2 linked regions of the Tamandua tetradactyla genome follow. The protein of the gene in region 1 purifies or fractionates together with the protein of each later gene. This does not show direct contact. Links are inferred from orthologs where the notes say so. Each region holds a gene or a part of one and is shown on either strand. Other genes may lie near its edges.

Region 1 (8,517 bases):
TGCTCATTTACACACTTTTTATTCATTTTCTCCCTCCTGCTTCACTTTATAACCTCCTTTACTTGTGCTTTCTGGAATCACTTCCCAAATGAACTAGTTCCATCTAAATCATTGCCACAGGATCTGCTTTTGGGGGAACCCAAACTTAGATAAGCAACTTGTTAACTTTATGCTTCACAATAGATGATATTGGTAAACTGTTTTCTGATCCTGAGTAATTTTTTCAATCATATATATGTATCTATAAACTTTTTTCTTTCCTTACATCTTTAATATTTACTATTTGGCCATATTTATTCCAAATAAATAGGACACTTTTATAAAATGAATGCTTTTCTGATACATACTTACAGTAGATATGAGTTTTCATAGAACTGCTTTTATCAATTTAGTTGATGGTTCAATTCAGTAAAATCCATTCTGCAGGGAGTCATTACTACACACTCAAGGATAGATATCTCCTTGTCCAGCTTAAGGTTGGGGTAGAACTTAACATATTTATAAGACTATCTTCACAGTCAAGCACAGTGCCTTTCAGCTGAGCTTTTGATAATTATTGGTTTGCATCTAAGTTTTTAGGTGTATTCCTAACAAATATCTGGAATGTGGCTGTCAGGCATGAATAAGCAGCCCAGTTAGGAATAAAGCTGAAATCCTCTCATGAGAGCTGCAAGAACTAAAGAGCATATGCCTGCACCAAAAGCCATTCCATGTTCTTTTGACAGTGAGCCCAAGGAATATCTACAACTCAGGGCCAAAATTTTCCTTAGAAAATAATTTTTATTGGTCCTCACCCAGTGGATCAATGAGTGATGGGCTATAGAGTTTCAATTCCATAGAATATGTCCTCTATAATTGTAACCTGGAAAACTTTTAAGGCAAGCTTAACCAAATGCATACCTTGGATACTAAAATACTTGAATTAAGCACCTAAAAACATTTAGCTTTGAACAGTGTTACTTTCTGGAATGTTTAGTTTGTTAAGCTGCCGGGATGCAACATACCAGAAACATTATGACTTCTAAAAAGAGGAATTTATTAATTTGCAAGTTTACAGTTCTAAGGCATGAAAATGTTCAAATTAAGGCACCAACAAGAGGTTACCTTCTCTCAAGAAAGGCTGATGCCATTCGGAACACCTCTGTTAGCTGGGAAGGCATGTGGCTGGCTGGCATCTGCTGGGGTCTTTGGCTTCTGGACACCTCTGTCAGCTGGGAAGGCTCAGGGCTATGTCTACTAACCTTCTTTCCTGGGCTCTTCAATGGCTTCCCCGGGGGCATTTTCTTTCATCTCCAAAGGTCTCTGGCTGTGTGGGCTCTTGGGCTCTGTTGGCACTGAAGCTTTTTTCAAAATTGTTCCCTTTTAAAGGGCTCCAGTAAGCAACTCTACCTTGAACGAGTAGAGACGCATCTCCATGGAAACCATCTAATCAAAAGGTACCACCCACAATGGGGTGGGTCACATCTCCATGGAAATAATAAAAAAGATCCCATCCAGCAATATTGAATAAGGATGAAAGAATATGGCTTTTCTGGAACATGCAACAGTTTCAAACTTGCATCCCTTCCAAATAAGCTCTTTTTGAAATTAATATACATCCAAGGGAAAAGAATGCCCTTGGTAAATAAAAATGTTTAAAATTTCGGGACCTTCTACAAAACAAAAAACAAAAAACAAAAAACAATATAATTAGCTACCAGCTTCACTGGTCTCCTAAGGCTTCTTCCTAGAGCTTGCTTTTTGTAGAACTATTTTACTGAGTTAATTTGAATCTTACTTTTTTATCAGATTTATAAATGCCAGACCTAATTTAATAGAATAATTGTAATGAAGACATTCTAAATTATTTTTCCAATTCAACAGTAATGAGAGTACATAGGAATCTCAGTGAAAAATTACCCTTGCATTCATATCCTTCTATTGATAAAGACTCTTGGGGCATAAAACTTGATATAGTTTATATTAGTCAGGGTTTTTCAGAGAATCAGAGCCAACAGGATATATGTGTGTATGTGTGTGTTTTCTGTGTATACATATATACAGAAATTTATTTTAAGGAATTGGCTTATGCAATTGTGGGGAATGGCAAGTCTGAATTCTGCAGGATGGAGAAATTACAGTAAGAGTAATAACTGAAGTCTTGAGTTCAAATTTCTTAGGCGAAGCTGACAGACTGGAAATTCTGCAAGATTTGATGTTGGGTCTGAAATTTGTAGGGGAGGCTGGCAGGCAGGAAACTCAGAGAAGTTGAGGGTGTAGTCTTGAAGCAGAATTTCCTCTTTACTTTGGAACCCTCAGTTTACTTTTAATGCTTCCAAATGATTGGATGAGGCTCACCCACATTACCCAGGATAATCTCCTTTACTTAACGTCAGCTAGCACCATCTACAAAATACTTCATGGCAACATCTAAGCCAGTGTTTGATCAAACAGTTGGACACCATAACCTAATCAAGTTACATATAAAATTAACCACCATATAGCTGTTAGCTTCTCTAATGGTCTTCTGAAAGCCTAAAGGAAAGCAATATAGAAAACAGGTTAGGTCCATCAGTTCTGGAGCCAGATAGCTTGGATTTGAATCCATCTCTACCTCTTACTGCATGTGTGACCTCGGACAATGATTTCATTTCTGTAGGCTGCATTTCCTCTTCTGTAAAATGGGGATAATGAGAGTAATTTCATAAGGTTGTGTTAATGATTTCGTGACATAATACAATTAGAGCAGTTGACACAGTACTTGGCATTTAGTGAGCAAATGGTAGCTATTATCACCAAATATTAGTTACCTTCATAACCCAGAATTGATAATGTTATTGAATTATCTTATGTTTCTATTTGGAAAGCAAACTGGTTAAGAAAGCTGGAATATATGCAATTAATGATTGCACAGAAACACTCTCGATGAAAGCAGAAAAAGAGGAGGAAGAGTTAAGCCTCTTTACTTTCTAAAATAATAAAACTTTATATAATTTCTAGCTCTTCTCGCTAAATGTATTAATATGTGTGCCTGAAACACAGTACCCTTTCTATAAGCGATTGATAATATCATTTTAAACTATCGTGGAAGTAAAGGCAAAGAAAGAGGGAAAGCACTGACAACTCATGCAGATGAAATAAATGAAAGTAAATGTAGCAATGAAATCTCCTTACATACTGTCCTGTTTTTAAAAGAAGCTCTATTTCTTCTTCAGGATATAAATATGAGTTGTTTGAAAAAACTCGTTTATTACACTACGGTTTGAGGTCCGAATTCCTTAAGTTAGACCTGTACGTGTCCATAGACCTGTGTCTAATTGAGGCTCTTTTTACTCATATATAATCCAACTAAGTGCCTAATTTGAGCTGTTTACATTTTCCTTCGTAATAATCTACGTAGATCCGTTTTAGGTGTTATTTTCTTGACTTTCCTCTAACAGTGTTTGTAACGTCACCATTAATTTAAAGTGGAGTGATTCCAAGGTTTCTGGACTACGAACATTCTCTCCCCAAATGGCCCGTACGTACGTATATTTAGCCACCCTCCTTCCAGAATTTGGTGAGGTCACCAGCCGTCTTAACCAACCTTCCACTAGGGGGCACACGAAACCAAGCAGCATAGCGTTAAATTGCTGTTCACGTTTAAAAGGACTAGCAGCAGCGTTAGGAAAATCAATCCCTTCCTGAATTAGACCCATCTGGTTACATACTTAATTATAATTTATGTTCCCGTAATTATTGTATTGGAAGGTGGCGGTGGCGAAGAGAGACGAATGTCTCTTTTTCAGGACACCCCCTCTCCCCCGCCCTTGAAATCAAACTGGCAAAAATAAAAAGAGAATTCTGGGAAATATTTAATAATTGAAACATTCATGTTTAAAAATAAATAAATAAAACTTTATGAGTCCTCTAAGGAAGGGAGTGGGGCGGAGGAAGGGACAGAAGAGCGAAAAAAGTCAAGTGAGGCTCTTCCAACCAGATGGTGTCTGCTTAATAGACCCGGAGCAGAAGCGCAAATGGTTAACATATTGTGTAGAGGGAAACCGCACATGGCCGCGTGGGGGAAGGGAGGCCGCGCGAGCCTTCGTTGGTAAAACCACCTCCGCGAGTGAGACTGAATCCGGTCTTCTAGAGGTCAAAAGGACTTCTCGGGGCTGTCGCTTACTTAACAGCTGTCCAGGTAAGGACGTGCGCGCGCGCACACACATGCATAGGAGAATAATGGTGAGAATGGTCATTGAAGGGTGTCTAGATGGATGACTGTATCTAAATTCTCACATAAATGCACCTGTAAGTGGATCCACATGTGCAAAACCATATGCTCCAAGGCTTTACATTAACGGTTTATTCCTTGTGTCATTCGTGAAATTCTGGTGTGGGTTACATTTATATCATGCTCAAAGCCTGCGCAAAACCGCACGCAGCGTGTCCATTTGTCCGCGCGGCCCCGGCCCGTACCTAGAACAAGGCGAACCCATCTGTCGTGCGCAGCGGTGGCGGCTGGAACACGCCGAGGCGATGACAGGATGTAGAGCCGCTTGCAAACGGCATCTTCTTTTCTTCTTATTTCAGTGATGTCATTGGGCTACAGCAGCTGAGCGAGCAGGAGGAGGAGGAGGCGGAGGCGCCCCGGCTGCCGCCGCCGCCGCCGCCGCTGCAGGTTCATGTGCATATAATGAAAAGGCACTTGACAGTCTGCCAAAACGCACGCCAGGGAGAGGGAGCGAAACTGGACCTACTGGATTTCGCAAAGCCAATCGTCATCATCTGCATCTACATGGGGAAGGAGGAGGAGGAGGAGGAGGAGGTGGGATCAGAAGCTCCAGCCTCGGCTGCTCCAATGTGAAACCACGAGCAAAAAAGGGGGATCAGAAAAAGCAACGGAGAGCGAGCGAGGAGGGAAAGGTTGCTCCGTGTGCGGTATCCCCCCCCTTCCTTCCCCCTGCGGATTTCTCCTCCTCTTCGGGCAGCTATGAATTCCGCTGAACAGACCGTTACGTGGCTCATTACCTTGGGGGTGCTGGAGTCGCCCAAAAAAACCATCTCGGACCCAGAGGGCTTTTTGCAGTCGTCTCTCAAAGATGGGGTGGTCCTCTGCAGGCTGCTGGACCGCCTGCTCCCTGGGACCATAGAGAAAGTAAGTGCTATTTCAGCCCGCGCGCGGCCCCCGGCCCCCCCACCGCGCCCCCGCCTGGCCGCAGTCGCCGACCCCGGGGCGCCAGGCGGCACCCCACCCCTAGGCTTGACCCCTGCGCTCCGACGCCCACGCGCCCGCCTCCTGCCTGCGTGGTCCCGGGCACAAAGCTCAGGACCCCTGGGCCCCGGCCGCTGAGGCCCGAGATGGGCAGACGAGTGCCGGGACGCGGGAACCGCCTTGCGCCTTGGCACCTGGTTGACCCGCGCGGCAGTACCAGCCGCCCACCTCTGCCCAGAGGAAAAGGTGACGCGCAGGCAGGAAGCCTACGCACTTTCCTTTGTGCGCGGATCCCCCCTGGAAGTCCGGTTCGCGCCGGGAAAGCGCGGACGCATCTCCGCCGCGCACGGCGCTCCCCGCCCGACCGACCGTGAGGACCCGAGTAGCGGGAGCTCGGAGGGCGCCATTGTGTGCAGAGTGTGGAGTGGCGGGCCCGAGCCGGGCGGGGGGCTCCGTGGCCGCGCGCGGGGGGTGGGCGGGAGCCTGGGGCCGCTGCAAAGGGGACGGATCCCGCAGGCGGGCGCAGCCCCAGTGTCTTCTCCCGGTCCGATTTCGAAGGTTAGAACAGTTCTCTACACAAGAAGAAATCGGATTTTCTGTTCCGTTCTAATATTAAGTTGCTCCTCGGGTGTCGTGAGGTCTGTCTGCTCAGATCCCTTACAGTGACCTAATCAGAAAAGCTCGTTCCAACACCATGCACAGTTTTCTCCGATGGCTTTGTTTGGATAATTTTTCGTTGGTGGGGATATTGCAGTAGTTTCATCATTTTTCTGTTTAATTGACCAATTCCTATGCATTTTTTGAAGGTACATTCGTCAATAGCTGAGAGCTGAGCTGTGAAATGATTTACTACTTTCCCAAAGAAAGAATTCCTCATGTATTCCAATCCATGTGGATTGCAATCACTTAAGTTAAAAAGCCCTGGCATTCTTCAGAATTTGTTCAAAATACAAGATTTTATTTTCAGATTTCTACCTGATTCTGAACAGATCCAGAGTCCTGGAGTATTGCTTCTCCCTACTCCTGTCTAGTGGTTTCCCTAGGGATAAAGTGTGAACCTTGACCTGTATTTCTGTGAGTGATTAAAGTTTGTTTTCATCTCTACAAGCTGACAAAGCATGGGTGAGGGGATATGAAATCTTTTAAAAACTATATATCCTGCTATTTAAAAAATACTACAATTTTATTCCAAAATTTTTTTTGCCAGGGTATAATTTAAGATGAATCTTTTTAGAGATTATTTTTAAAATATTAAGTATGGAAGTTGGAGCGCACTATAATTTGGAGGAACAATTTCATTTTTTGTGGAGTTTTTAGCCCCTACAAACCAAGACAATTTTTTTTCCAAAGACGATTTTTAATAATAAAAAAGTTAATAAAATGACTTGAAAAAGTAAAACGTTTATCCTCATTCATAAATTTGCATATGTTCTGGGATTACATTTTGAAGGCCAGAAAAATTTTATTTAGCATAATAATTTTAGATGCTTTTCTTACGGGTAACATATTTGTGAACACAGAATGTGCACTTTAGAGTTAATACCTGCCTGCTTGTCCATGAAATAAAAATGTTGCTTCTAGATGAATCTGATGTCACGATAAAATTATGATTTAAAATGAGAATTACAAGCAGGATCTATGATTTTTTTTTTTTTTCGCATGGGCAGGCACCGGGAATCGAACCCCGGTCTCTGCATGCAACAAGCAGGATCTAATTTTCAGGGCTCTCAAAATACTTTGTTGTCATCTGAATATCAGTATTTCTGGTAATAAAAGTCAGAGTTGAAAAGCTTTTTGAAAATGCACAGTTTACCAAAGTAGATGTCAATAAAATATTGTTCCATTTCTAAGAATGGAGTTTTAAGAAACTTGATATGCTGTGTTGCTAAAAATAGCAACTCAATGCATGTGCTATTTGGTATACTATTGATTGGTAGACTTCAATAGTCATTTTCTTTTAAATTTTAGAAAGACTTTCTTAGAAAATGGTAGCAGTCCTCTCATCTCTAAAACAACAAAGAACACTGTGAATGTTTACTTTGCAGAAAACAACCCAACATAATCTAAAACTATAGTCATTTGTAAGTTTCTTATATTGAAGCTATTAATTCCTTTTTCCCTGAGCCCCAAATGTTTTTTTTAAAAACTGATTTTATCGCAATGAAAGGTTAATATCAAAGTAGCAAATTATAGACAGAGCCACTAATTCTCAAAGGTTCAAAGGTAGGTTTTCAGGGTAAAATATTAGTCATTCTCTGCCTCCAAAAAACACCTGGGTTTCAGAAGAGTCATGAGCTTTTTCCATTTCCTAAAAGAGTTATCTGTTTGAACTTTCCAACGTTTGCATGCATACCAAATAATATATGCCACAAAGCACAAACTCTGAACAACTTTTACTTGAATGTGGAAATGTGAGGAAGAAGACATTTTTCCTTAAAAAGAGACAGTTGGAAACTTAACTGAATACTCATATGAAATTTAAAGAATCTTAACTTTACCCCTGTTTGCCACAAGAACACGTTGACAGCTAGTTAATAAAGCAGCCTGTAACTTAACACTTGCAAATTCAAATTTAAAATGAACCATTGGACTGGGGATGAGGGCAGAATTTAGGAGAGTTAAGCTGGCTCAGGTTTCTTATGTCATAAATGAAGAAAAACATTTCCTAATATGTTTCTTCCATTATGTTCATTTGTTCTATTTTAGATCTGGTAGAAGGATGGAGGGAACTAAGAGGACATTCATTTAGTTTCACATTGTTTTATTCATTAACATTTTTTTTTCATTTAAGTTCTCTTTTATGCAGTTCTCCTGCTTTTCTTTAAATTGGAAAGTAAGACAGTAGGAAGAGGAAATTATAAACTTTACATGAACAGTTCAGAAGAAAGATACTTTTCATCATTATGTTTTTTTGCTATAGATAGGAGAAAAAAATTGTGGTTAAAATATCTCCATGTTTTCCAGCAATGGCCAGGATGTATTGCTGAACTACTTGTTCTAATCTTTTTCCTCATACCTCCTGTGATCAAAAACACACAACGGCCATAAAATCTAGTGAGCATCCAACCGTCCTTTAGCCCTATTAACACTGTTTTCATAAATTAACACTTTAAACATCCATGGATTATTTAATCAAAAGCGGTGAAATCAAGATACAGGAATCTTAGAGGATGAAAAATCACCATTACAATAATAAGACACATATTAAAATAATGGAAATCATGAAATGCTGTTTTAATTTTACTTGCAAATGCAGAGGATGGGAGCCACTTAATCCACTATGAAAAACTCAAGTCTTTGAGACACTTGATTTCTTTCTCTCTCTGTTCCAGAACAGAATGCAC
Region 2 (8,517 bases), on another chromosome or scaffold:
CAGTCTTTGAGAGGCAGTAGAGCCTATTGGTTAAAAGGGACCACTCTGGAACCAGCCAGCCTGCCTTAAAATCCCGACTTGGTATTTAAGAGCCAGACGACCTTGCACATAACCTCTGAGAGCCTCAGTTTCCTTCTCTGTCAAACGGAATAATAATCGTACCTATTTACCTCCCAAGGGTTGGAGAGGTTAAAAAAAGATCATGTATAAAGCCCTCGGCACAGGGCCTGGCACACAGTAAGCACTCAATACATGTCCTACTATTATTACAATGATCGGACCACGAGTGCAGAGTTGAAAGGGTCAGCGGGGCCAGGGGGTTGGGGGCTGGAAATGGGTTCAACGAGGCGAATCGACCCCCGCCTTCTCCCCTTCGGGCCACGGCCGGCCGCCCAGTCCCTCACCTGGCCCCGCAGCTCCTTCTCCAGCTGCCGGTAGTCGTTGTTCCAGACTAGAAGGTGCAGAGGGAAGTGGCTGCCGTCGTCGTGGGCCGAAGACATGGCGAGGAGACCTCAGAGGGCCCTCGCCGCCCGTTCACTGAGGTCTTGGCCCCGGCGGGGTCTCCGGGGTCCGTCCGTCCGCCCGGCCGGCAGCCAGCGAGCGAGAGAACCAGGCGAGCGAGCGAGGGGCGCGCTGCTCGGCCGGGTGGCCTAGAGAGCCAGGAGCGGGGCGCACGGCAGGTCGGGGGTCGCGGGCCGGGTCGGGGACCAGGTCGGCCGCGCCCACCCCGCGCCCCGCCGCGCTCCCGCCGGCGTTGACAGCTCGCGAACCGACTTCGGGGCCGAACTGTCCCAAACAGGGAAGTGCGGGGAGCGAACCACTGCGCGCTGCGGCAGGGGGAGCGAAGCCAGGGACCCGGCCGGGTGTCCTCTCGACCCCATTACCCCCTAACTGCACACCGGAAAACTCAATACCAACGTCTACACGGAGCTAGAATTCCCTCTCTTGGCCCGAAGTCTTAATAAGGAAAAATCGGTCTATCCGTCTCTAGCCTCGTCCCCCCTGCTTTATCTACCCACAGTTGTGCGCTCCACAACTGGGCCGCTTCCATTGGCTCTGCGATGGGGGGGGGGTGTCTGAGTGGCCTGGACTAAACCATCCCCTTGCAGCCTTTTTGGACCAGGGCAGAAGCTTCTATGATTTGTCAGTAGCCATTTTGGAAGTGGGCAACACCAAAAATAGTTGTAAAGGGAGAACTATAAACCCTGGGAAAGTGGCATCTAATATTTGCATAATAGAAGCATAGTTCTATCTCAAGGTTTCTCAACCTCAGCACATTTGGGGCCAGATAATTCTTTGTTTGAGGTCCTTTCCTGTGTTTTGTAGGATATTGAGTAGCTTCCCTCTTCTCTATCCACTGGTGGCCAATTTAGCACCCTTCAAAATTTTTTTCGCCAAACATCCCCTGGGGGATCAATGTCGCCCCCAGCTGAGAACCACTGTCTATATGAACTCCAAATTTGGTTATGATTCAAAAATATCTGTGGCACACTAATACAAGGTGTTAATAATAGAGTGGTTTATGGGAACTCTATATTTTATGCATGATTTTTCTGTAAATCTACAACTTCTCTAATTAAAAAAAGAAAAAAGAAAGAACCTGTGCTGGTAGTTTACTTCACATATGACTGTTATTTTTTTTTTTTTCATGGGCAGGCAGACACGCAGGAATCGAATCCAGGTCACCAGTATGGCAGACAAGAACTCTGTCTGCTGAGCCACCGTGGCCTGCCTGAAGCTAACCATTTGGATTTGTAATTATGGCTGGAAGGGTGCATATATAATACTTAGACTTTACCACAATCTGCAAATATGAAGTTCATCCTTGGATTTCAACTTCAGACACTGTATCTTCTTGAATCAATAAAGAACCAAGTCAGCTTATAGCTACTAACCAGCCTGAGCTCCATGCTGCTGCTGCTGCTGCTGCTACTGCTCAATTGTCTACAACTACACAACCTAGCTCAGCAAAGTTATTCAATGCATCCTAAAAGCATCCTCTCTGCCTTTCCTGCCTGTGCACAACCAGCTTTTCAGATGTCTGCAACGACAGCTGTTCGAGAATTCTGGGCTAATCCATTCTCCACATGTGTTGAACCCAGATGATTTGTGAGTCGGGGAACCAAAACAGGAAACAAGAGCATCAAGATAGCACCCATAGATTCAGACTGTGGAATGTGCAGGAACTGTGTGGCTATTTCCACATCACACATTTATCAAACTGGAGAGATGGATCCTGGGTCATGCTTCTGAGGCCTTTTCCAGGACTTCTTTTCTTTTCAGAAGCCTCATACAACTTAATTTCATTCTCTCCATCATCCCATGTTAATTGAACATCTCTCCTATCTCAGTCTGAAAACCCCACAGTGGTAGGGACCACTTCTGTTTTGTTCACCAGACTACCTGAAGCCAAAACAGTACCTGGCCCATCATGGGCATCCAATATTTGCTAAATGGAGATTATAATCCTGTTTGCATGTAACATATACAATAAATGTTCATTAGCGTTAGGCTCACATCTCTTCTCTCCTTCACACTAATTAACCTCACTTCATTGTGTTTATCTCACACCATCCTATAAATTACTTTCCTTCAGGATTCTTATTCTCAAATTCCAAGTATATGAAGAAGAGCAGTGATTAGAAAATAATAAAATACCAATAATAGTGGTGGTTACTATCTATTGCGGGTTTCCTATGGGGCAGGCACAACATGCTTCTTCATAAATTACTCCATTTGTCCTTGGCCAGATAATAAATATTCACGTTTTGTGGGTCACATTGTAGTTCTGTTGCATATTCTTCCTCTTCCTCTTCTTTCTCCTTTTTCTTCTCCTTAAAACCTTTTAAAAAGGTGAAGACTATTCTTAGGTAGCAAGCCGTATAAAAACAAATCGTGGACTCCGTTTTGCAGATGAGATTAAAACTGAATTCTAAAGATGAAAGCATCTAACATATTCTATACTTGACTTATTTTATTGCAGATCAACCTCAATAGAATGTAACATCCATAAGTACAGGAAATTTTGTCTGCTTTGCTCACTGCTGTTTCTCTCGTTCCTGACAATGTTTGGCACATAGCTGGGCTCAATAAGTATTTGTTGACTGAATGAATGAACTCGGCCAATGTTACAGTAAATGGCCACCGATTGTCTCAGGAAGGTTGTGGCTGCAGCGCTCTAGTCATTAGATTTTGCTGCTTCCCCTGGTATTTATCGGTGCTGCGAGGAGGCATATCTCTTCCAGGGGGACCTAAATTCAAGATTTAGAAGTAAAGCGAAAGATGCTGGGGAGGAGCCTGCCCTTACTCAAGATGGCGACAAGGCAGCGTGCCCTGTCCGGTCACATGACCTATATCGCCGAAGGGAGCCTCCTTGCGCCTGCGTGCTGCGCCGCTATTCCGAGTCGCTGAGGGGAGAGGCGCCACCGCTAGCGCCGCCGCAGGGACCCGTTAAGCGGAAGCGCTCCTGCCGCCGCCTTAGGTGTCCCGGGGCCCCTAGCTCCTGACGCGTGGGAGGCGGGAGCCATGTCGAAGCGGCTCCGGAGCAGCGAGGTGTGCGCTGACTGCAGCGGGCCGGGTGAGTCGCACCGGCCGGGCCCGCTCCCCTCCTCTCCTGGCCGGGACCCCTGCCCCGGGCCGCCCCCTCGGGTCCGGCAGGTCCCCGCCGGCGAGCCCCGCGCCCCTCGGCCGTGGTCGCAGCGAAGGGGAACCGAAGGCGGCTCTGGGGCAGGGCTTGTTCCAGGCCTGTCAGAGTCGGACGGGGCGGGGGCCGCCCCCTCCCTTCCTTCCCTTCCCTCTCACACCACCAACACCTCCCCCCCCCCCCCCCCCCGCCCATTCCCCTTCATCCCAGACCGGTGGTGGGGGCGGGGGCTGGGGCCGGGCCCTCTCCCCTAACAGGAAGGGGCTTGGGCAAGCCACAGGAAAACCAATTACAGAAGTAAACTGCGAACGTCTTCGCGGATGCGGCCCCCAGAAGCTGCAGGTGTCACCCCCACCGGTCACCCTGTCCCTCGCCCGGGGTGGGCGACACTCGCGGCTTCCTTCACCAAGGCACGTCGAGGGGCCTCTGGGGCAGATGACTTCCTGGCTTTTGACATCCCGCTCCCACTCCACGGGGGAGAATCCAGGACGTTGAGGGCCGGCAGCGCCAGGCAGCGCCTGGGAAACAGTGCCTGTCTCGAGTTTGGGAGCTGAACAGCCTGGGTTCAAACCTGGTTTTCCCAAGGGTGACCTTGGACTGGTGACTTTGTTTGGCCAAACCTCGATTTCCTTATTTTTCCGATGGGGAAAATTGGGAGTACTGTGCTCAGGGGCTAGGAAGATTCAGTAAATGTTCTTATGATCCTGTTAAAGTTTTTTGTTCTTTTTTGTATTATGTTCTTCAGTACGGAACCCTCATAATCTCTTAAAACTAGATTTAATTCCTAAGTCATATATTAATTACAGCTTACCAAGTAAACACAAAATCACTCGGCAGAATACACATCTGAGTATTATTCAGGGACTGTAAGCATGTTGTGGCTATTAAAAGGCCGAAGCCATTTCCACCTATGTGCACTTTTCAGATTTAGGGTTCCGAGCTGTCTTTGCAATTGGAACTGAATTGTCAGGTCTCTATGGTTAGATTATTATATGCTATTTTCAGTGCTTGCATTTATCTATGTTGTGTTTGAAGTAATTCAAAAGTCAGATGGTTGACTTGGCACAATAGCACCCAAGAAACAGTGTTAATGAAATCATAAACATGTTTTTGCAACTGTTTTGAACTTCATCTTGTGATTTGGAAGTTGAGACTGATTTTAAATTGTACTGTGATAACTCAAACCTACGTGGTTGTGTCATGGCCTGTACAATGCAACCAGGATTACCAGTTTCCTTTAAAGACGGGAAGAGGGGTAAAAGGGTTTAAAAAGAGATGCTTCATAATCAAGTTAGGGTGGGTTATATAAACTCCATTTTTATTCTCTAAAAGTGTTATTTGTTCCGCTTCCTTCTTTTCTTGCCTGTTTTCAGTTGAACTTTCAGAGATGTGTTTGATTCACGTGTCTAGCATCAAACTTCCTCTTAGAATGAGTATTCTTTACTTCTCAAAAGACGCTGTGGGGCTAAGGGGAGTTGCTTCTCCGTTGCTGCCCCGAGACTGCTTTTCACTTTGTGGCGTTTTGTACATTTCAGAACATTTTCTCTTCCATTGTATCATTTTAGCTGTTGTTTCATATGCATAGTCTACAGAGACTTGAGTCACTTCCTTCCTGTTTTGAGTATAATTAGGCTACCTTGAACTGTTCTGTGAACTTGAGCAGCTAGGAATTTGTGCTTCTTTTCTGCAAAACTCTGGTGAAAGAATTACCTTTCCATTGAGGAACCCCTTTGAGAATCTGATGAAAGCAAAGACGCCACTCCCCAGAAAATGCACTGGTATTCACACTCTCACACAGATTTTACTTAGGATTTCTCACTCGAGTTACAGACAATTCTGAAACCCATTTGTGGTGTCCATGAACCCTGTATAAGAAGCCCTGACATAAAATATCCAGATAAGCTGGAAGGGTTTTGCCCAACTTCATTCATGCAAACTTGATTTTGATTTTACTATGTTGTGACATTCTAGTATTCTTTCCCCAGGATTCTGGTACATGATGTTAAAATGATCATTTGAGAACCTTGCTTAAGGTGTGTTAAATCCTCACTGTCTTGGTGCTGTTTAATTTCCTCCAAGAATACTGTAAATCATCTGGGTGATACATGAAAATCAAAGCTATGCTTCAAAGCAAATAGGTTTTTATGGTCATTAACAGTAGTACCAGACTGCAAAAAAAAAAATGTTCCTATATATCATTTTAAATAACCCTCATCTTGATATCTTCAATCCTTGCTCAGTATAGTAGTACTGAGAGAGTTATGCATCCTTGAATTACTTTGTTTCTGTTTTGTTTTAGGGCAAACATTTAGCCACAATGACTTCTTAAATATTTCACTTATCTTAATGAATCTAGTTAGTTTTAAAATACGTCATACTCTGAGTGCAATTACCTGAAAAATCTGGTGAGATTTTCACTATACTGTACTATAGTAGTACAGTATTCACATGAAGCATTCACTGTTTTTTAAGTATTTCTAATCAAAAACTTTTCCCAGTGATCATGAATTTCAGTAGGTTCTTGAAGATATCTGAATGCTGTTTAGAAAAGATATAACAACTAACATCACTGAGTACTTACTATGCACCCATTACTTATTCTTTTCTACCCCGAAATGTAGGTATCATTACCATTTGACCCATGGTGAAGAGACTCAAAAGAAGTAACTTGCCCGAGGATATTGTACCACAAGTGGCAGAATTGGGGCTCAAACCCTGGCCTGCTTGTCTCTGGAGCCAACCTTCTTAACCATCATACTTTCAAACCCCTAGGGTTTGTCTTTGATTGAAATACCGTAATTTTTCTGTATATGGTTTGAAAGAGCTTGAATAAACTGTTAAAATGATTAAGATGTTTGTGGACATTGAAAAATTTCTAAGTATAACCCTTAGACCTGGTAGTTTGAGTGGCACCTCACTTCATTGTGATGGAATGTATATCTTCCTTTAATTTAGATTTCTGCGTGCTCGGTTTACTTACTCGGATCCATTTTGTTTGCCACATGTGTATGAGTCCTTGTTTCAAAGGCTGTCTAATAAAGTTCTCCTGAGACTTCATAGGAGAAAAATACTGTATGCACACCAAAAATATTGCCCGTTTTTATTTTGCATCTTCATCTCTGTGAAATGACTTAGTACAGTTTATGTTCTTTCAGATGAGTTGGAGGGTTGGATTTGTGAGTAGTTTATTTAAAACAACTAAGGGAAATCATAGAATGTTTCCCAGTGGAGGAGGCCAGGTTTCCCAATCTGTCCTCAGAACCGTAACAGCTGAGCGATTTTATAGTTCTCTCACTCACAGCTTTCTCTTAAGCATATGGGCATGTAGATTTGTAAATTAGAGTAGCAGTCCTTTTTGCAGTTTACTTCAGGTAATGTTATGCTTCTAACTCACTGTCAAAATTTTATTATCTGGCCATTTGTGGAGATGGATTTGAAAAGAGTCATCTGCACCCTCTTAATTTACTTTTCTTACATTGAATGAAAGAACATCCTAATGTGGTGTAGATAACACATTATGACTACAAGCTGTGGTCCTGAGCCAGAAAAGAGAGAACTGTTTATTTAGGGATTCAAGTCGTGTTTTTAGTATCAGTTAACATGGTACATAATCAGCCATAATAGATGGTGTCATCAGCAGAATCACCAGCTTGATATGTCGTTGGCATTTGGAAACACAAACCTCAGTCATCTTTTGCTCTCTGACCTTATAGCAACCAACTGGCATCCTCACCTCTGGAATTTCATTTTACTTTCCAGATCCTTCCTGGGCATCAGTAAACAGGGGGACTTTCATATGTGATGAGTGCTGCAGTGTCCATCGGAGTCTGGGACGCCACATCTCTCAAGTCAAGCATCTTAAACACACACCATGGCCTCCCACATTGCTTCAGGTAAAGGACAAGAATTCTTCTCACAGCTTGTAATTTAAGTTTTTTTGGCTTCATGTTTTAGCAAATAAAATTTCCTCTAGTGTACTTTTTAAATCTCTCAAAAATATTTGAATAGCAGTTTAATAGAGGAGCTGAACCAGTCAGTGCTATATATAAGTATTATCTAAATTGAGTTCATTATTTAAGATTCTTTTCCCCTCCTCTACATCAATCTGGCCCCAGAAGCTCAATTAGTGATAGATAGATAATTAAAAATTCTTTGGTAGCATTTCAGGGTGACTTTTTAAACTGTCACTAGAAATTGTTTTTTTTAAATAGTCCCATCTATTCCACTTACCATGATAAATGTTTCTGATAGCTACTGCCTTAGAAAGTTTTCACTGATGTACTTATTCCTGAGTACCTGCTATTATTTTTAGATTTTTTTCCTGCTTTTATAGAAGCATGAACTGGGATCTCTCAAATTTCAGAAATATGGAAGCTTTCTGAAAGTTCTCGTTAATAGGCAGAGATCAAATTAAGTTAACGTATTTTGAATGCGTGCCTGACACTCTGCTAATTGTTAAAAGGACTTCTGGATTTCTTTGAAGTCAAATGTCATGTCACTTATATTTCTATTTTGGAGTACACATTCTTCAGGTTCTGCTGGAATTCAGAATTAAGCATGTGTTTTACCTTCATTTGTCTTGTGGGCACATTTTACTAAATTTATGGCAGCTGCACAAAATGCCCCTTAGAATTTGCCTCTATGAACAAGTAGATTTGGATCTCTCATGTGAAAATATCCCCACTAATGTTAAAAACAGATGGGACCAGGTTGCCGTGTCAGGAGCTGTGCTTTGAAATGAAACTGGGAGATAGGGTTTATTGATAACTTTGACTTATATGTTTCTAAGAGTCCATTCTCCTGTGAAAGTATTTCCTGATCCCAGGCCTGTCTGTGTTTACACAGCCTTACTATGTTATAGGATGTAAATAAAG

Evidence for each region.
Region 2: the proteins of ARHGEF7 (region 1) and GIT2 purify together in Homo sapiens (affinity purification with mass spectrometry; 6 studies listed by BioGRID and IntAct, counting the BioPlex papers as one, with this or other methods). This does not show direct contact. The link is inferred for Tamandua tetradactyla from reciprocal best matches to the Homo sapiens genes ARHGEF7 and GIT2.

What each region holds. Positions count from the first base shown.
Region 1 is NC_135330.1:180,969,867-180,978,383, forward strand, and holds the start of ARHGEF7 (rho guanine nucleotide exchange factor 7), read left to right. Parts: upstream 1-3,919; 5' UTR 3,920-4,159; intron 4,160-4,437; exon of another isoform or gene 4,438-4,551; 5' UTR 4,552-4,951; coding exon 4,952-5,116; intron 5,117-8,517. UniProt on the Homo sapiens protein: Acts as a RAC1 guanine nucleotide exchange factor (GEF) and can induce membrane ruffling. Functions in cell migration, attachment and cell spreading. Promotes targeting of RAC1 to focal adhesions. May function as a positive regulator of apoptosis.
Region 2 is NC_135331.1:21,457,459-21,465,975, forward strand, and holds the start of GIT2 (ARF GTPase-activating protein GIT2), read left to right. Parts: upstream 1-3,374; 5' UTR 3,375-3,525; coding exon 3,526-3,577; intron 3,578-7,402; coding exon 7,403-7,536; intron 7,537-8,517. Other genes in the region: ANKRD13A (ankyrin repeat domain-containing protein 13A), read right to left, coding at 405-500. UniProt on the Homo sapiens protein: GTPase-activating protein for ADP ribosylation factor family members, including ARF1.